3 linked regions of the Drosophila melanogaster genome follow. Changing the gene in region 3 together with the main gene of any one other region gives a genetic interaction. Each region holds a gene or a part of one and is shown on either strand. Other genes may lie near its edges.

The links. A genetic interaction does not mean that the proteins touch.
Region 1: of nst (region 3) and htl, changing one enhances a phenotype caused by changing the other (phenotypic enhancement), as found in Drosophila melanogaster (one study listed by BioGRID).
Region 2: of nst (region 3) and sxc, changing one suppresses a phenotype caused by changing the other (phenotypic suppression), as found in Drosophila melanogaster (one study listed by BioGRID).

The regions. Positions count from the first base shown.
Region 1 is NT_033777.3:18,049,985-18,056,289, reverse strand, and holds the start of htl (heartless), read left to right. Parts: upstream 1-3,305; 5' UTR 3,306-3,788; intron 3,789-6,305. UniProt on the Drosophila melanogaster protein: May be required for patterning of muscle precursor cells. May be essential for generation of mesodermal and endodermal layers, invaginations of various types of cells and CNS formation.
Region 2 is NT_033778.4:5,303,755-5,310,287, forward strand, and holds the start of sxc (super sex combs), read left to right. Parts: upstream 1-3,533; 5' UTR 3,534-3,744; coding exon 3,745-3,898; intron 3,899-6,533.
Region 3 is NT_037436.4:12,524,699-12,533,152, reverse strand, and holds nst (nesthocker), read left to right. Parts: upstream 1-2,981; 5' UTR 2,982-3,117; coding exon 3,118-3,218; intron 3,219-3,904; coding exon 3,905-5,351; intron 5,352-5,420; coding exon 5,421-5,522; 3' UTR 5,523-5,938; downstream 5,939-8,454. Other genes in the region: Tsf2 (transferrin 2), read left to right, coding at 1-102, 182-315, 381-541, 601-1,052, 1,116-1,280, 1,347-2,405; eIF2beta (eukaryotic translation initiation factor 2 subunit beta), read left to right, coding at 6,550-6,564, 6,768-7,167, 7,476-7,999; ver (verrocchio), read right to left, coding at 8,068-8,454.

The DNA.
Region 1 (6,305 bases), on a different chromosome or scaffold from region 3:
CCAGATTCCTTGTTCCCGGTCTCCAAGTTCCAGCCAACCCAGGTGCAGTTATGATTTATGCGATACTCCTTCTCCGCCTCCTGCTCAGCGGTGGTTTGAGGTGAGGCACCAGTGCTTCGAACGGCGTAAATTATATCGGGCTTAGCATAAATCGTCAATTACAGCACATGATTATTATTAGGGATTATGGGGACCGGGACTAAAAACCAGGGAATACATACATATACAAAGGCCACGCCCGCGCGCCAAGCCCAATCCGGCCGAAAGGTCTGTTTAAACGCACTTTTAAGCGCCAGTTTTAGCCGCCCCAGCCCATACCATATCCATTTGCCCCCTCTCTTCTAAAGAGCCAGCTTTAAATTATGGCCTAGACCGCGACGGCGGCTAAGACCCTTGGTGGAACAGAAAACGGGCAGATAAAACCACTTTCCGAACTGAGAACTTCGAACAGTAGCCATAGCCAGTAGAACAGGGAAGATCGTGTTGCTGGGGATATCTAATATAATTAATACACCTTTCATTAGATTCGCCGACTCTACTCGAGATTTCTGCTGGCCTTTCGTTTCCAGCGTTTCGAGCGTCGTGTTAAAAGCAAGATATCAACGATCGCCGGTCTGCTTAAGCTGATTTACCATAGATCCAGAGATACATCAACCAGCCAGCACAATATAAATCAATCAAGTGCATACAAGTTCATTGACAGCTCGCACAGCTTGCCGAGCCCCAAAGCGCTCGGCGATGGCAACAATTTCCAGCCCCACATGATCCATGAGCCATGATCCTCCGCTTGGATACCCGAACACCCATCTCTGTGGCAGGCCAACTGGCCAACTCTGGGTCTAAACCAAAGAAGAAAAAAAAAGGCCAACAGCCTGTCAAATTGCCGGACCACATTGTAAGTTATGATTAGCTCACGCGCTCAAAGATTTAAGACCGGAAATGGCGCGGTGCTGGCAAGGTGGAGCCAATAATTCAAATTCGAATCTCCAATAGTTTTTGAGTGATTGGAAATTCGATTTCGGGCTTTTGTTTTGTTTTTTCTCGCATTTTTGATTTTTGCTTTCCGCCTGTCTCGAGGCTTATTGCATTTTCATTTATTTTGCTATTTGCCTGCTCTTGTGGCAAATGCAAACACACCCGCATAATTTCGCCTGCCAGCAGCAACCCACTCGGTTTGGATTGCGAAGATGCCAAATTGCCACGCACAGTTGATGCATAAATTATCATCGACATCGCCAACGAATGGAGCCATCGAATTGGTCTGGTTTTAAGCGGGTTTTTGGTTCTAGGCAATGATGAATCAATGTTTTGCAGGCCTAACTTATTTGAGCCCATATGATACAATAAATACATTCAACTCAATTTCTTAATCTTAATCTACTAATCCCAAAATTTAATTGATTTCCCAAGTCACCTAGCAAAAGTTAATATATTGCTCTTCCTTATTTTCATTGACAGCTTCAATAGCCCATCTGTTTATCTATTGCAACTGAATAAGTCTAGCAGTTAACTTATTTTTTGGTTGTTTAATCCGCTGGTCGAAAGCGTTTCTCATTGGCATATTTCGCATATAATTGGCTATAAAAATTCATGTTAATGTGCAATTAATCATATTAGCAATTAACTTTATGCTGTTTGGCTGCTCTGCACGAGATCTCGACGAGCTGCGATCTGCGAGATGGCTGCAGATCGTGTCGCCCAACTCGAAGATCGTGTCTCCAAAAGCCTGTTACCGTTCCCGATTTTTCATTTCCCATTCGCAGATTCCCAGAGCCAAATGGCCAAAGGCTCGACCAACCAGACTTTGAGCCAATTTCCCAATATTTATTTCTATGCTCGAAACGCTAACAACTTGCGTTTCGTTCTGGCCAAATTGAAAAGCCATACGGAAGCTGAAGCTGCGATCGGCAGCCTCGAGGAGAAGCACTTTTGGGTAGCCAAGAGGAGCCCGGTTTGGAGCCAGGTTGGAGCCAGGAGGCTTGCCCAGGAGTGCATAAAATTTAAGTATTATGACCATACACACTGATCGGTGGCCGTCTTTAACCCGTGCTTTCCCCGGTCTCTCTGCGGCTTTACGAGGTTGTTAACTGTTGAAACTATGCTAACCACTCATGGGGATCCTCCCTCCCAATTCCGCCGTGGAGCATCAATTAATCAGTCAGGCGTAACGCCATTTGGCACTGAACGGGTCCCGTCGGCCACAATTGATGGTCAATAATCGTTAATTGTTTTCGATTTTCGGCCAAAATCCCCCCTGCGTCATTGTCCATTGTTTGGCTAACCCTTTTCGTTATTTTTGGTGTCTCCATAGAGACAAACGCTAAACGATGCCATTGTCTTTGGCGCACAGCGTGTGTGCTTTGATGGCCTTTTCACCACGAGTGTCATTCATTAGAGGGGCTTTCTTCCATCGCCACTTGGCTACTGGTTCTTATGTGTCTGTTGGCCATTTGACATTGGCTATAAGTAGCTCATAATTAATAACTGCTAACTTACTTAGCGAGCTATTGTGTTGGCTAATGAATCTCATTCCGCATTTTCCGCCTCAAACGAAGCGCAAAGAAATGCGCAAAGAATTTGTCAGTAGAATCTTAGGCCCTCATAGGCCATAAATCTTTTTAAAAAATAATAATAATTAAATTCAAGTGACTGATCTATTCTGACTAAGATAAGTTAGCTATTCTTTTTAATAAAGCATGATCCATCAAACCAATTATAACTACATAAATAATTGATCTGAATATAAGGAATCTTTTTGACAACTACCCATCTTCTTTGCACCCTCATAATGAAATTCATGAATTTCCTCGCTGCGCTCGAAACTATGCAACATATTGTGCGTTAGAATATCTTTGAGATATTCCATTCGACTCAATTGAACGAATTTTAGAACGAGTGCGGTCTGTGCACTCAATTACATTTCACTTTCCAAGGGAAGGCCGCCACTCAGCTACACACTTGTGTGTGTGTGTGTGTGGGTCCCCCATATATAGGGTATAGGGGCCCCTATACCATATAGTACCATACATACATATACCGCATACCCAACCCCTCGCTTTTTCGACCCTTCCTCTCTTTGGCTGCGGATTATACAATGTGTGGCTGGCGTTCCGTTCAATTTTGTGTGTTTTCTGTATTTGTTTACGCGCCTGCCGCAAAAATACATTGCAGAGATGTGTTCTCCAGCATGTTGAAGTTGATGGGGGAAATGTGAATTCGTTTCATTTGTTCCCTCATTTAATTGAAGAGATTTATTTCGCAGAGCTGGCTCGGTTCTGTTCGGTTCGCTTGCTTTTTTTTGACTCAGTTGCGATCGGACTGCGTGCCGTTACAGTAGGCGAAATCGGAGGAAAATCGTTGGAAAATCGGTTGGAAAATCGTTGGAAAATCGGTGAAAAATCGTCGAAAATTAGAGCGAACGATCGATCGATTGAACGCGTAATAACGCCATATAATATAATTATACTAATAATTATTAGTAATGCCTCTTGGTGAAAACGCACACATTTTGTGGATGGAAAGAAACAAAACAGAGTCAAGTGTGCAACGGTTTCTGGTTCTGTTTAAGTGCCTAAGTGCCATATAAATGCGTACTAAAACATTTCTGGAATTTTAAGTGGAAACATTCTCGAATTCTGTGAACTTTCCCAATTGTGTTTTTAGTGAAAGACTTACAATTTAGACGAAGGCAAGGAGAAATTCCAACGCAGAGACACTTTGGTGGATATTTGGCAAGAAGCTTTTTGGCATTTTTTTTTTTTTGTTCGTGGAGCAACGCACTTTGTGAGGTAAGTCTTTAAAAATACACACCGTGCATCGTTTAATTTAGTTTATTTTGTTTTTGGTTTTTTTTGCGTAGTTGCGCAAATCATTTGTTTGATCCACTTTTTGATTGACCGCGCACAGCAATTTGACTTTTTAACCCAAAGGCCAAAAAGTGTAAAATGTGCAGTGGTTCGGTTCCAAAGCAATTTGTGTCGTTTATCCCGCTGTGTGTGTGTGTAGTCAATCGTTCAATTATCTATTCTCTGGCTACCCCATAATAATACAGTGAATATGGACAGTTGTGGGCTCCCCATAGTATCTGTTTTTTTTATTTTTTATTTATTCCATTCGGTTCTGCTATGGTACATGCTCAAATTGAAAGCACTTTTCCACAGGGTTCCCATTCTAATTTATATTTATTTATTTGCTTTTACAAGCCAACCGATGCCCCAGAGCTCGGGAAAATATTTCAAACTCATAATTCTGTTATATTCCAACGCTCCCTTAGAATGGGATTTTGTTTATTAACCAACAGCATATAGCATATATCGTATCATCTAGAGTCTAGATTCTAGAATGTAGACGGTATAGGAACATGCAATATTTTCTAGCCGCGTAAACAAACATTTCAACTTGTCTGCTCTTTGTCCGACTTGCTCTATATCTGAGTGAGTATATAGCTAAAGATATAGCTATCTGTGTGTATATATATGTATATATATATATTTATCGGGTATCTGTTTTGTCGGTCGGTTAGCTTTACGATGCCATCTTCTAGGTGATTCGGCTTCTGTTTTGTTGCCTTTGGCAATCACTCAATTTGCTGGCCGACAACCGAAGACGCTTCTTACTTTTCGCCTCCCTTCTCTGCAATTTATTTATGAATGATAATTAAGGTTAGGTTTGTTTAGCTAATTGTGCGGCCAGTTCCCGGTATTGTTCCCATATCATCTCAGGTGGGATCCACGCAGACTTTCGGTATGATCCTTTGATCTTTATGATGTTAAAGTACAAATGTCACGAGAATATATGCTTGCTATATAATATTAAATGTTTTCATGAGAGTTTATCATAAAATCAGTGTTTACCAAATAAAGATTTCGATTTAGAAATAGATTTATGTCAACAATAAAGTAATAATGTTATTTTTTGGTATTATAATATATTATAGCTTAAGCTTATCAATGCTACAGCACTTTTATAATGGATTTTGTTGTCTAAATGTTTGTGAGTACTAATAAAATTTTAAAGCTCTAAATGGCAAATTTACAAATATATAAGTAAAGCTTGCAACAATTTAAGAATAGCACATATTTATTTCAACTAAATCTGTTGAACGTTCTTTATATAAATCGCTGCGTGCTTTATATTTCTGAAATGTAAATCGAATCAATAGTTCACTACTCATATACTTTGTGATAATTTAACGTAGCTTCGCGTTTTTGATAAAGTCGACTTGCCACAATCGACCTTTCGCTCCATCTGCTTCTTTTCGTTTACCCCATGGGATGCAACCTTCTCGCCGTCACGTACTGAATGGTATATACTAGATGAACGGGTGGGGATGGATGGATGGATGGATGGCTGGATGGGATTGGCATTGGGTGGCTGATGGCTGGTGGAACCTGCCGACGAACCGTGCGAAATAACAGACTCGTGCCGGTCTCGACTTGGTATCGGATACACTGAGCGGCAGCGGGGCAACCGCCAAGTGCGTCAATTGCGGGTCAACCCGTGCGATTGAAATGGATGCGCCAAGTGACCGGCGATTTCAATTCGATGGGAAATGTACATATACCGTGCAATGTTTGTATACTTTGCAAATACTTTCCGGAACGTGTTTGTTTATAAATCGGGCGATTTTGGACGGCACAGGAAATACATACATATACTAAAATTGCGCGCTCATTATCGATGGAGGTGAAGGTCGGAGGGTGGAGATAGAATACCAAACATATATACAATTTTTGGCAGTTTCCGATTTGGCGGATGCCTTCCTGGAAGTCAACATTTCGGATAACCCCATCATTTAGACGCTGGAGTCGCTACTTCCCCTCGAGAATCGACGACAATGTCTGTGCAACACATGTGGCACGATCTTAGGTAGACATACGTATATGTACATTCGTGTATGTTCGATGCTGATGATGTGCCCACATGTTGCAGTCAACAATAGAGCAACAAATGCAAGCCGAAACAATATTTGCCCTTGTCTCTGCTCTGACTCTGACTGTGGGCGTGGCGACGGGGGCGGGAGAACAGAGACAACTGAACACAGTAGTCTTCTCCGCCGGCCGTTATTTTTGTTGCTTTTAATTTCTTTAATTTTTTTTTGTCCGCCAGATGTGGGCTGAATGTTGAATGCGGACTGGAAAGATCAGACCCAGAACGCGGAGAGAAACTGTGTCTGTTTTAATTAAAGATGAGAGTAATACCCAGTGCAAACTGAGAGATACCGCCGATACTGAGATACAAAGCCAGACGGGGCTGGCATGTGTGGAAAATTAAGGCTGCCGTTGAAAGCGAAAAGATGCGGGACG
Region 2 (6,533 bases), on a different chromosome or scaffold from region 3:
TGGATTTTTTAAAGTCGACATTTGTATAGATATCTGCATATCTGTTTCGGACCTGGGTCCGTTCATCGACCCACCAAGCGGATTGCATTGTCAACAATGGTCAAATGGTATGATCCACTTGGTCTAATAACCCCAATTGTCAGAAAATCACATGATCTTTCTGCAATCTCTATGGAGTGCTAAGGTGGAATGGGACGACGCATAGCCAGACCAATTTTTTCGTCATGGTGGGAGTTGACTTCACAGTTATCGGTCGTAGAGAACTTAAAATTTCATTTATCTTCGCGAAGGCAGATGTAAACGGTGACCCTGATGCAACAACACTCCTGGAAAGGATTGAGCTGCGAGTATTTGTCCCTATTCCAAGAGAAACGCAAGTGTCGCGTCGTAGTTTTGCTTAAGGAGGACAACATTCCACCGTTGAGATGTCATTTTGAGCGCATCCAGGAAGTCATATCCGGCGGGGACAGCGTCATCAGAGTAGCTATCAAGAGAGCCGTCGTCCAACCAGTTGCCCCATCGATTTCGATATAGTTGGAACCGTACCTCTAACAACGAGCAGTCATGCGCTTATATTGTATGTATGTGTGACACCTCCTGCAGCGCTCTTCGGGTAACTATTTTCGCCCTTATTTCTACTCTGGCTAAAAATGTTGGGTTATCTATTCAGCTATTCGAAATCGCTACAGAAGCCTCGTCTGTTCATTTCTTTAAAATAGCTAATAAAAAGGCTTCTTAGCTCAACATACATGATACAAAATTTTCAACAAATTTAGTATGCCGACTTCCCCAACTATCATATACCCGTTACTCAGCTAGTTGAAATTGCGGCAGTTTTGGGCGGCTTAAGGCGTTAGAGTGGGTGTCTCAAAAATTTTTTGGCAGATAGATAGAACTTTACAAGACTAAAAATGTTATGAAAATATATCCAAAAATTATTCAAAAATGTGGGCGTGGCACTTTTGCTCGGTTTTAGGGCGTTCGAGTGGGAGTGGAAAATAGTGTTTTGGCAAATCGATAGAAATTTACAAGACTAATAAAATTATAACAAAATATCCAACAAATTTTCAGTCTTGGGCGGTTTTAAAGCCTTAGAGTCGGCATGACAAATCAATAGAAATTTACAAGACTAACAAAATTATAAAAAAATATCTAAAATTTTGAAAAATTGTGCGAGTGGCAGTTTTAGGGCTTTAGAGTGTGCGAGGCAACAATTTTTTTTTGCAAATCGATAGAAATTTACAATATTAATAATAATGTAAAAAAAATCAACACGTGTTTTTAAAAGTGTGTGTGCGCCTTTGTCCCTAGAATCTGTATGCTGAATCTTAACCTAGCTTTCAATCTAGCTTTCATAGTTCCTGAGATCTCGACGTTCATACGGACTCGGCTATTGGTCCCTGATCAAGAATATAAATACTTCATATGGTCGGAAACGCTCCCTTCTGTCTGTTATTTTTTAAAGAATATTTACGAATATAACAAATATTCAAGAATAACGAATTTTTTAATATTAACATTAGCAGTATAATTTTAAATAATTCAAATACTGTAAGCATATATAATTTCCAAATGAAAAATTCTTAAGCCTCAATGCATTTTCATATATAATTATACAACTGCTTATACTTACCTGCGATTTTCGAGAACGGTGCAACGTCGTGGTCGGATGGGACTTTAACGTGTGGGCCGCTCTAGTGTGGTCGCCACACACAACTCCCAAGGGCAAATTAAATCTCGAAACATTCGCTAGGCTGGACGTTCAACAGTGCCGTTGCAGGATTAATTATCGACCTCACGTTCATAAGCAGTCCATTCGCTCGCTTCTCCTGTTGGGGTATCAAGGAGGTGGTCACAGTCAGTGACCACGAGGCGATCCAGGTCGAAATAGGCACAAAGGCAATCGAGAGCAGGGCTAACACGCAGTAACCTAAGGCCTACCGACAGAACACCATGAGTCTAGAAGAGTCCGCCGGCATTCTCCATTACCTGACGGTCAACGAGGCGAACTTGTGATCGCAGCAGCGGATAAAATAGTAGCGAGGGTGGAGGAGGCCTGCGGCCAAAGCATGCGAATGAGGAAAACGAACCGAAGGCACCACACCCTGGTTTTCTGGTGGAGCGAGGATATTGCCTTGCAGCGCATCATCAGCCTACGCGCAACGAGACTCGTACAAAGAGCTCGTGGCACCACGCGTCTGGAAGCATGCCATACGGAATACAAGGTCACAAAGAATTCACCGAAGAAAACGATTAGAGCCAGCAATCGTGAATGCTTTCTGAAAGTCTGCGTCGCAGCAGAAAGCGATCCATCTGCTCTGGAAAACATCTTTAACGTTCTGTTCCTGTTCGGTCTGCCATTCCCAATTCCCAGATCGGGCCAAGCGGAGACGAATTGCGGCCTGTCACGGAGCCCGAGATCCTAGCGGCTGAGAGGAGTCTTAAAACCAAAACGGTACCACACCCGATCGCATCCCAAGCAAACTACGAGAAACAGTGCTATGTTTGTTACCGCCTAAATTTGAAGGTTTTTTTTTTGTTTTACCAATTATTTTTAAAATATCCATGAGATCTGTTACTAATTTTTTTATTTCGATTGAAAATCATTGTAGTATTTAAGTTTAGTGAGTAAAATAATGAGAAAGTGTCAGAAAATAGAGAAAAGCTGGGACAAACACGAAATGTGCTTATGATGCTATTATTGTTACCGCAACTGTAATAAAGAGAGTTTCTTGACAGTCTTAAAAGCGTGTAAACTTGGAATTTGTTGTTTATTTTCTTGTATATTTAATATTTTTAATTTGTTTTTTGATTTATAAGTAAAATAAATATTGTTTGATTATATTTTATAAAAAAAATTGCGTTTAATTAAGCAAAAAACCCTTTATTTTTAGCTTTAAAGTCAAAAATTCAACTTATTTTACAGTGTGTAAACAGTTTCTTGACAAACTGTATGTGATATGTGATTCTAGAGACATAGGCGCCGCGCAAGTTTGTTAACCCATGTTGCCATGTGCAATCCAACGCACACATACCGGACAAAACTGCCACGTCTACACTTATGTAAAATGTTTTATTATTCTTTCATATTTTTATTTTCTTTTAAATTTCTATGAATTTGCCAGAAAACATTTTGCCATGACCACTCTAACGCTAACAATTTCAAAATGTTTTGAAATTTTTTGATTTTTGTATACAATTTCTATTAATTCGCGGCCACGGCCCTTCTTACACCTTCCAAACCGGTCAAGACCGAACTTTTGATCAATTTGAAACAATTTTGTTCTTATTTTATATCCCAGTATTTAACGATATCCCAGAAAAATGATGAATGAATTTCGTGTTCCCATTTTCACGAGCTGACTAACGGTTATCTGATTGACTCGACAATACCATTCTCTCTTCATTTGAAATTATATGTGGTATATCATTGGTATAACATTGATATTATGTTAATATGGTTTTTGCCGCCGTAAGAATAGGGTATAAGCTATTAAGTTGCTGTTCACAGTGTTCAATATTTGAGTATGTAAATATTTGATTTTCTCTTGTAAATCGTATTAACAGCTGAGTGGATGTTTGAAAATAATTAAATCAGGTTGCTTTTATAACTTAATGCAATTCATATTGATATTTTACTGATATTCTCTTTCTTAAAGGTTTAATCATGTAAACAACATCACAGTGTCTTTACTTAAGGGTGGCTTATTGATTTTAGACACATGTTATCAACGTTGGATTTTAATGCATGTTGAACAAACACGAATAAATATGCAGTCTCAAGGACAGAGCCATCAACTGCCGTCCGCGGCCCATATATTATTAGATCAAAATCCGAATTCAACAGGCAGTAACCTAGTCGTAAAACAAAATGACATTCAATCTCTTTCATCAGTCGGTAAGAAATAACCATACATTTATATATGTATGTACATACGTTTGTAATTGATTTTTTTAAAGAATACATCTAGTTAAATACTTTATACATTAATGCAAATGAATAAGTTTGACAGCGAAGACAACCACAATTAAATTAAGAAAAATCAATAAATCAAACAATTGGTTATGCCTGGCCCGAGATAGATATGTGTCTAATGTGTCTCATATTAACAACATATTAAGAGATGCATATGGTGTACGCATCTAAAAATTCACACAACATAAAAATCAGTGTTCAGTGTCTGAGCTTATTTCGTGTAGTTAAATTAATTTTTATGTTGGCATTGCTTCGATGAAAGATACCAGAAAAATGTAAACGCAATATTTTTGAAAGAATTATTGACATGGTTAAAAAACAGACGATTTCCGTATTCTAAATGTGCATCCCTCATTAAAGCCGTATCTTGTAAGGGGTATCTGGTAGTCGAGAAACTCGTCTATAATGTTATCTCTCACTCCATCTAAAATTAAATTTTTTATTGTAATTTTTTTTTTTTCTGGCTTAAAGCTTACTTTGCACTTAAATTTTTTTTCGTTCTGCTGTAGCTTGCACGTTTTTCCTTTTTTAAATTTTTGACAACATATATTACATATATGTACATATATTATTTGGTATTCATTGAAAAGTTCTTCGGTGCTTTTCGGCCTTCATTCAATACAGTATTTTCTTTTAGGGAGAAGCTTCCGCTTCTCCGCGAAGTTGGATCAATCTCGGATATTAAAATTAAAAAATTGTTAGGTTTAAAATGGCCATTTATTGAATATTAACATACTGCACAAAATAAGCTGCGGCATAAAAAACACCTTTTTGTTTTCTAAAACGATTAGAAAATTGCTTTTTTTTTATATAACAAATTTAAGAATCCGGTGCTGAAATACCTTATTGGTTTGAAACCTCTAAACTGTACGAACAAACTACAGCAGACAACTTCGGATGTGTCCTTTGAAATTTCAAGGGTTCGTTACCCTGCATATCCGTTGGTTAATCTGCACCAATTGAAGTGCTTAACACTAGTCTAATTTGTTTAAACTGTATTATTTCTAGAATATCATTGACTGCGTAGTGAGAGATCTTGAAAACTCATTGACTCGGCCCATTTTAGGGTAGTCCTGAATCTGGATGTGTATGATCTATACCTGTATTTCAATCTGCATACATATGCATGTGTCTGCAGTTCTCAGTGTGTGTCTCAATCATCTTTCCTTGCTGTACCTGAGGAATTATCTCTTGAGCATAGTATCTAGTTGCCTTCTCTAAAGTATGAAGCTTATACAGATTACTTCCTCTGATAATTGCACGAAATAATATTCAGTGTGAAGAAGGAAGTTTAAAAATAAGTTTTGTTTTCATTTTATTATTTGCCTTGCTATGTTTTATTGATTTAAAAATCTGTTGCGGAACTCGACCAAAGGGTACGGCCAAAGACACCAGAATAACAAGATGCGTAACGCCATTCGATGTGGCTCTAGAGCACTATGGGGCATTTGGCCTGTTTTTTTTACAATAATGTGTTTTTCACAAGTATGCAAATTTGAAGTATTTTAGTATTAATACATTGGAAATACGTTAAACTGTTATGATACAGCCCGCAAAAGTTAATTTTACAATGCACCGTTATAATAACAGCTGTTAAAGTCGGCTGTTGCGAGCATATATCACGTGGCTGCTTTGCGCGCAAAATTTAGCTTAACTTTCAAAGTGTTAAAATTTAAAAAGAAGAAGAAGGAGAGTATAATTTGAAATAGATAATCAATCTTTAGGTTTTTATTATGTGTTGTTATTAATATATTGTTTATTGTGTGCGCCTATTTCTAACAATTTGTACATTTAGCAAGTGGTGTCAACATGTAGTTGTTTGAAAAAATTTTAAACTTTGAATAGAGCTACAACAATTTGTTCAAATTTGTTCAGTAAGTGTTTATATCCATGTTGTAGTGTGTTCAATTTCTAACTCATATCAGGTAGTCTCTATGTGCGTTTTTTGCGGTTTCTTGAGAAATTTCATTTTTTAGGGAGCAATATCTCGATTTCCAATGCTGCCCTGCTGGAAGTGTGGCGCAAGCAAAAGGTTGTTCGTCAAAAGGAAAATTCTATTTGCACTTTTATCAGTGGGCATATTTCTGATAGCAAGCTAGACTTTAATGAACGATTAACGAATAATATTAATAACGAATGATTTCAGTCAATCTTTTGCGAAATTGGAGAAAATGCAATCGAAAAATAAATGAATTTTTGAAAGTTTTTCAAATTGGTTAGAAGAACACCTAGTCCTGAAGGTAAAGGAGAAAAATAAAAAGGAAAGGAAATTAGCTGGACTCCCGAAAACGTCATATTATTTAAAAAATTTGAGTGGCCGAAGACAGCAAGCAGATGAACTCGTAAGGGCGCAGAATCACAACGAATGTCTTTTGGTTCAAGCTGTACGGAAGTGCTGCCTGCGGGATCTTGCAGCCATACTTAAAATTCTTTTGTTGAACCCAGCCAAAGCAAAAACTATTAGTAGCTTCGCAGATGTCTTTTACAGAGCAATGGATACTACGGATCCCATAATATCATCAATAAATTTAAAGAGGCGAAAACATAAGCGACTATC
Region 3 (8,454 bases):
GGATCTCTACCAGACTTGAACAATCTGCGCGACATGCGCAACAAGAGGGTGTGCTTCCCCTGGGTGGGCAGCTTGGCCGGTTGGATTGTGCCCATTCACACGGTGAGTAGAACTCCTCTTTTAAGTTGATTGTTTATTTGTTTCATTAGGCAACTAACAAACAAATTTTATCGTTTTGCAGCTCCAAAGGGAGGGCGGCATGGAAGTGGTGGACTGCAACAACCAGGTGAAGACGGCCGCCAGCTATTTCAATAATTCGTGTGCTGTGTACTCGCTTTCCGACAAACACAATCCAATTGGCGACAACTCCGATAAGTAATGACGCATAAAAGCCACAATTTTACACACATTAACTAACAACAAATCAATTTTCAAACCAGACTTTGTACGCTTTGCACTGGAAAGATACCCGGAGGACGCTGCTCATCTGCAGATCCCTACTTCGGCTACGAAGGCGCCTTCAAATGTCTGCTTGAAAAAGGAGATGTTGCCTTCTTGCGCCATTCGACTGTGAATGAAATGCTGCAAACCACCGAATTCAGTGAGTTACCAAAGGGAAACTTCTGAAAACCCATTACTGATCTAAGCTGCGTTTTTTAGAGAACATAGCACCCGACACTTTTGAGCTGCTGTGTCGTGATGGTCGTCGTGCCTCCATCAACGATTATCGCCAGTGTAATTGGGGCCAAGTGCCCGCCGATGCCATTGTCACATCTTCGGCTCGCAGCTTCAGCGATCGCAAGCAGTATCAGCAGTTTTTGAAGCGCATTGCCGAGCTGTACTCCGATGGCACACGTGATGATCAGAGCAGGCAGGGAGGACAAAGCTTCAACAGCCGCAACAACATCAACGATCAGAATGCCTATGGCCAGTTCGATAATAATGATCCGTACAGAACGCAGAATCAATACGATCAGTATCGCAGCGAACGATTGGACAGCAGTTTTGCAGAGGAAAGAAACCAGCAGGACGGCACGAACACTTCCATACTCTATGAGAAGTTCCGCATCTTCGAGTCGAAGCGCTATGGCAAGCCAAATTTGCTGTTCCAGGTAAGTGGATCATATTTTCCGTGATCCGAAATACATACTTAACATTCAATTGTTTTGTGACAGGATTCTAGTCGCGCTCTAACCGTGATTCCCGAAGATGATCAGTCATTTACCAAGTACCTAGGCCCTGCCATTAACTTTATCTACGGCATCCGTGAGTGTCCAGTTCCAGCGATGACGCTTTGCGTGACTTCGGAGAATGAGCTTGATAAATGCATCAAGATGAGGGTGAGTTGAAGAGTGAATATATGGATAGCAAGATGAGTTGATGATCCTTTACAAAAACACTTTTAGACTGCCTTGAAAGCTCACCTCCTGAAACCAGAACTCATCTGCAAGAAAATGCACTCCCACATCAACTGCATGCAGTTCATCGAAGCGGGCAAAGCAGACATCTCCGTTTTCGATGCCGGCGATGTCTACACTGGTGGCCTCAACTACGACCTGGTGCCCTTCATGTCGGAGGTGTACAATCTGGGCGAGCCCGAGTATTATGTGGTTGCCGTGGCCAAGGAGGATGATCCCGATACGGAGCTAACTTACCTGAAGGGTAAGAATACCTGCCATACGGGCATTAACACCGCCGCTGGCTGGACATATCCGATGGCGCTTTTCATCTCGAACGGCTGGATTCGTCCCTACGGATGCGATTCGGTTCGAGCTGCCGCGGAGTACTTCACCAAGTCGTGCGTGCCGGGTGCCATTAGCAATGAGTACAACACCGGTGTGCCCTACGACAGCATGTGCGATCTGTGTCATGGAACTAGCTATCGCTATTGTCGTCGCGATGCCTCCGAGGAATACTACGGGCACACGGGTGCATTCCGTTGCCTCGTCGAGGGCGGCGGTCACGTGGCCTTCATGAAGCACACCACGGTGATGGAAAGCACGGGCGGCAAACGCAAGGAATGGTGGGCCAGGAATGCCCTAAACGATGACTTTGAGCTGCTCTGCACGGATGGTACTCGTGCCGAGATCCAGGACTACAAGCGCTGCAATCTGGGCAAGGTTAAGGCCAATGCTGTGGTCACCCGCGGCGGAGTCAACTACAACGAGACCCAGATGAATGCCTACATCAATCTGCTGACCTATGCCCAACAACTGTACGGTCGCAAGGAAGTGGACGCCTTCAGTTTCAGCATGTTCTCCTCGCCGATCGGGCACTATGATCTGATCTTCCAGGACGCCACGCGGCAGCTGCAAGTAATTCCGCCCAATAAGCGCAGGTATGATGCCTATTTGGGCAGCGATTTTATGCGAGCACGCCGCATCACCGACTGCTATGCTGGTGCCTCCCAGTTGGCATTATCCGTGGGCCTGCTCCTCGTGGGTTCGCTGGTTGCAATGCTCTAAGCCACTAGACTCACTTAGATTTCAGAATTCTACAAGCATCTCTAGCACAAAGAGAAAACATATCAACATTTTTACATTCCAAATATGATTAAGTTAAATGTGAAATCCCTTCCGTCCGAAAATGAAACTCTAACTAGCCGAAAAATATCTGTTGAAGGCTATAGTTTATAATTTATAAAGTCCTGTGCCTTATTATAGTATTTGTTTGTGTACATACCAACTAAGACCGTCCAAAAAATGTACCTAGGAGATGTAAGCCGAATCTTTTACAACCGCTTATGTAAGTATACAAATAAAATAACTAGATAAAGGAGTTATTTTGCTTATTTTGAATTAGTATCATTTGAAGAATCCTAATATCTTGACCGCAATTGTAGCCGCCAAATTCAAATTGAATATGTGCGCTAACATCGCTTTGAAACATAGATGTTATTGAAATTTACGCTGGTAAATATTGCATTTAACCTTAAAACACTCTGTATTGTTTATAAAGCCAGTAAAATGTTTGAAATTAAAGAAAATAGCGTAGTTACAAGTTTCAGCGCAGTGTGACCGCTTGGCCGCATAAGCAAGGGTGGAACAGTGCCGCGAAACGACGGTCACACCCGCCTGCACACATCTGTGGAATTGTTAAATTTCGAAAGTCCGGAAAAACCGGACGGAACCTTTCACCTCGCTCTGGACCAGTGGCACCGCCCTCGAGTATCGCAAGATGTCTATTAACCTGCGCACCGTCTACGCCTTCGCCCGCGAGATGTACCCAAAGACCTCCAAGGAGACCATCCAATATGGAACAGCTGGCTTTCGCGGCAAGTGAGTAGTTGCCTCCATTAACGATCTTAATAATCATCATAATCATTATGCTAACACACCCACACGATGCACACGTTGGCGCATTTGATTAGCACACGGCGATTGTTGGTGGTTTTTTTTTTTTTTTGATAAATGGGCGGTTGCAGGGCTGTGATGTTGGAATTTGGCGTTTATTTTTAGATATTGTTCACCTTTTATCAATGGACATGCCCTTCTTTCGCCGTTATGTCTGCCTGTATGTGCGTAAGTGTGCGTGCATGTGCATATGTGCATACATACTGACGCACAGTCGCGGGCAGCGAACTAGTGCCACATGTGCAAGTTGCAATATTTTCAAATCTCAATGATTAATAACTTGTTATTTGTGAAAAATGAACCAACTAAGTATTTGATTACATAGTTTGTGGTTTCCGCGCCCTTATTTTCTAACCACTTTACAGCCAGATAACAAAGTTTCCATGACACACCTACTGATAAAAGCAATTGCAACGCCTAAAATGAGCAATACACAGTGCTTCTATAGGCTTATCAATCCAGCGAAGATAAAATAGATAGCTAAAGTGATAACACACATATAAACAAACAACATTAGGTACAAAACATTTTCCAACTCCAAAATACAAGCTAAAAGATACTTTTGTATCTAAACAAAATCCTGATGTAATAACTCCGCATTTTTTTTTTAGGGCTGAGTTCCTGGACAGCGTGATGTTCCGCATGGGCGTTCTGGCCACCCTGCGTTCCCGGTATCGCGGAGGCTCCGTCATCGGTGTGATGATCACGGCATCGCACAATCCGGAGCCGGACAACGGAGTGAAGCTGGTCGATCCCAAGGGCGAGATGCTGGAGGCCAGCTGGGAGGCGATAGCCACCGATCTGGTCAACGTCAGCGACCAGGAGCTGGAGCAGCAGGTGGCCAAGATCATAAAGGACAACAATATCGATGTGACGACCAGTTCCCAGGTGTTTGTGGGCATGGACAACAGATACCACAGTCCGCGGCTGCTGAAAGCGGTGGCCGATGGCGTGATAGCGCTAAAGGGTAACGTCAAGGAGTACGGCATTGTGACCACACCCATGCTGCACTACTTCGTGGTGGCGGCGAATACCAAGGAGGCATACGGCAAGCCCACCGAGGAGGGTTACTACGACAAGCTGATCAAGGCATTCGAACTGCTGCGCAACGGGCGCCTGGAGAACGGCAACTATCGCAATAGCATCATCTACGATGGTGCCAACGGTGTGGGTGCGCGCAAGATGCTGCAGTTCATCAAGCGCATGAAGGGCACCCTCAACGTGACGGTCATTAATCAGGGCATCGGTGTCGGCAAGATCAACGAGGACTGCGGCGCCGACTACGTGAAGGTGCAGCAAAGTCCGCCGAAATCCATGCCCGAGGATGTGAAGCCGTACACGAGATGCGTCAGCGTGGATGGCGATGCCGATCGGGTGGTGTACTTCTTTACCGACGACAAGGGTGAGTTCCATCTGCTCGATGGCGATCGCATAGCCACCCTAATCGCCGGCTATCTCATGGAACTGGTCACACAATCCGAGATTAGCCTACGGCTGGGCCTGGTGCAAACTGCCTACGCCAATGGTGCATCCACGGACTACATAGTGGACCAGCTGAAGTTTCCCGTTTCGTGCGTACCCACGGGCGTGAAGCACCTGCACCACAAGGCCTTGGAGTACGACATTGGTGTTTACTTCGAGGCGAATGGCCACGGAACGATTGTGTTCAGTGACAATGCTAAGGCGACGATTGCCCAGGTGGCCCAAACTAAGGAGAGTGCCAAGACGTTGCTGCTGCTCATCGATCTTATCAACGAGACCGTGGGCGATGCCATATCCGACATGCTGCTGGTGGAAACAATCCTAAATCACAAGGGCTGGGATGTCCAGGATTGGATCTCGTCGTACAACGATCTGCCCAACCGACAGCTAAAGGTGAAGGTGCAGGATCGCAATGTCATCGAGACGACGGATGCGGAACGCGTGTGCGTAAAGCCCGAAGGTCTGCAGACGGAAATCAACCAGGTGGTGGCGAAATACAAGCGGGGACGCTCCTTCGTTCGCCCCTCGGGCACCGAGGATGTGGTGCGCGTCTATGCCGAAGCAGCCACCAAAGAGGTAAGGCTTATAAGTTAACTCTTAGCACTAGATCAAAACACTCTACTTACTATCTTTTTTTTACGACAGGACACCGATAATCTTGCCTACGAAGTGGGTCTGCTGGTCCAGAAACTGGCCGGCGGAGTTGGCCCCCCATTGACGAAGCCCAACAGCAGTGCCCACCTGTAGAGCGGAATGACGAACTAACCTCTCACGGGAATCGACAATTGACACAGATCCTGGATGGAGCAATAAATCTCTTTACTCTAAGGTGCTCAATAACTTAAAAAAAAAACAACTTAACTCTCAAACGCATTTATTCTGCAAATGTTCACTGTCTTTTGTGTTCTAAAGATGACATATTTTTTGCCATTATTTATAAAGTTCTTTTCAAGTTTATTTATACATATGTACATTGTGAAAGTTGCAATTTTATGTCCTTCGCTATTTTGTAATTGAAGAATTTAATGAAAATGCAACCGCTACGTTGATTTTTTTGTTGAGCTGCTAGCGGTAACTATTGAAATTATAAAAGAATTGATAGTAGAGATTAATGAACCTAATCAAGTTTGTATTGCTATTTTCTATAAAAGTATTTTTTAAACAATCTAAAGATCCTTTTACTTTAGGTCGAATATAAATCAGTTTTCACTTCATTTGGAATTTACTATGCTGTACGCACAATTTATGGCAAATTTAAATCACTGTCCCGGCAAATAAATTAAAATTTTGCCAACTTTTATTTTTAAACTTAACATTTTAATAAATGTTAATGGAGCTGGCAGAATTGAAACGCGCCATCTGGCGGTCAGTAGCGGAGACATGTAGGACAGTAATTGATAAGGACTACTGTTAACTGTTACAATGTAAGCAAATACTTCAAAACTGTTATACTTGTGTTAATTAAAGCATACGTTCAAAAGTCGAGTTGAGTTATTGAATGTTAACTGTTCGTAGTTCGAAAGTTATCTAATTTAGCTAACTAATTTAGCAATTGTTTATAAAAAAGTTTTACTTGAATATTATTAATACTCGGTATATCTATGCAAATGGTATTAAAAGTATATTTTCGCATGCCGGATGGTTTACTCGTCTAAAACTCAGCCGGTCACACCGTCTGATTGCCGTGCTGTCACTTTGGCTGATGCAATTGCAGTTTTTTTAGTTAAAACAAAATTAGTTTCCAGTCAACTAGTATTCAAACAGCCCAGACACAATGGACGCGGAAGACGTAAGTTCCCGGAACACCGGCTAGTGCGTTTCATACGCGGAAAACTTGCGTGGAAAATTCGCATATTATCGTACATGTGCGCCCTTGTTTGCGTATGTGTATGTGTGTATTTACACATTTGTGTATGAGAACTGGGCGAACATTGAGGTTATGTTTGCTTGATCCGGATTTAAACCATATTGAAATTCCAATGATTTTCGCAGGGTTTTGATCCCACTTTGCTGAAAAAGAAGAAGAAGAAGAAGACCACGTTCGATCTGGACGCGGCATTGGGTCTGGAGGATGACACCAAGAAGGAGGATCCCCAGGATGAGGCATCGGCGGAAGGAGGTGCCGCCGCCGAGGAGGATAATCTAGATCTGGAGAGTTTCGGCAAGAAGAAGAAAAAGAAGAAGAAGCCCTTCAACATGGACGAAATCGAAGCGGCCATACCCAGCTTTGGCGGCGATGATGTGGCCGCCAGCGAGGAGCCCGAGGAGGAGGAGATCAATCTGGACATGGACTTCTCGATGGCCAAAAAGAAGAAGAAGAGCAAGAAGAAGGAACTGGACGAGCTGTTTGCGGACCAAGCGGACGACGACAAGAGCGAAGACAAAGAGAACGGTACGGTGACGAATTGCAGAGCAGCCAGGGAAGCTTAGGGTTATAGAATCATCCCAACCAAGATTGGCAGCCATATAAGCTTGTTGTCACTTGACAAAGGCAAAGCTATACGATTCTTAAAGTGTATAACTTGGCTTTCGCCTTTTCCGAAGCATTAAAACTCAGTGTATGAAGTGAACTAGAAATGCTTAGCCAGTGAGTTAGCATGTAGCTGTTCCAACTTTAAATAGACTCCAGATTTCAAAGCTCTCACTTAGCAAATAAGCTTATACCATACCCTTTTAAATAACGTTTTCATCCGTTTACAGACGAGGACAACAGCTCAACCTGGTTTGGCTCCGACCGCGATTACACATACGACGAGTTGCTGAAGCGGGTCTTCGAAATCATTCTCGACAAGAATCCGGACATGGCCGCCGGCCGAAAGCCAAAGTTCGTGATGCGACCGCCGCAGGTGCTGCGCGTGGGAACCAAGAAGACCTCCTTTGCCAACTTCATGGACATTGCGAAAACGCTGCATCGCCTGCCCAAGCATCTGCTCGATTTCCTGCTGGCCGAGTTGGGTACCAGTGGCTCCATGGACGGCAACCAGCAGCTGATCATCAAGGGCCGTTTCCAGCCCAAACAGATCGAGAATGTGCTGCGTCGCTACATCAAGGAGTACGTCACCTGTCACACCTGCCGCTCCCCGGAAACGATATTGCAGAAGGACACGCGTCTCTTCTTCCTGCAGTGCGAATCCTGTGGCTCCCGCTGCTCGGTGGCCAGCATTAAGTCAGGTTTCCAGGCTGTCACCGGCAAACGTGCCGCCATACGAGCAAAAACAACCTAAATTCTCCTTATTTAAAACTTTTTGAATTTTTATTACCAGTAAAATTTCAATACAAAAAACCAACGATACTATTTATTTGTTGTATTCTGCATTGTTTTATGCCTTCGTTGCCAGTCGGTTAGGTAGTCTACGAAGCCAATTTCCATATTCCGCGATCGGCCGCTGTCTATGAAGAACTGAAAAGCGTCCAGACCCATCTTGCCGCGGAACCTATTCGGACGACCGCGCAGGAATAGGCTGTGGCCCCTCGAGATGCGCGTGGGATCAATGTACTCCATGGAGACCTGCAGCAGCCGCATCATGCTCACGGCAATGCTCTTGTAGGCCTCGGACGAGGCCAGCGAACTGGCTTCACTGTACAGGCTGCTGATCACGCGTCCATTGAAGGGTTTTTTGGTGATGCTGGCCTCCAGGGAGCCGGTGCCATCATCGATCATGAACTTCATGAACGACTC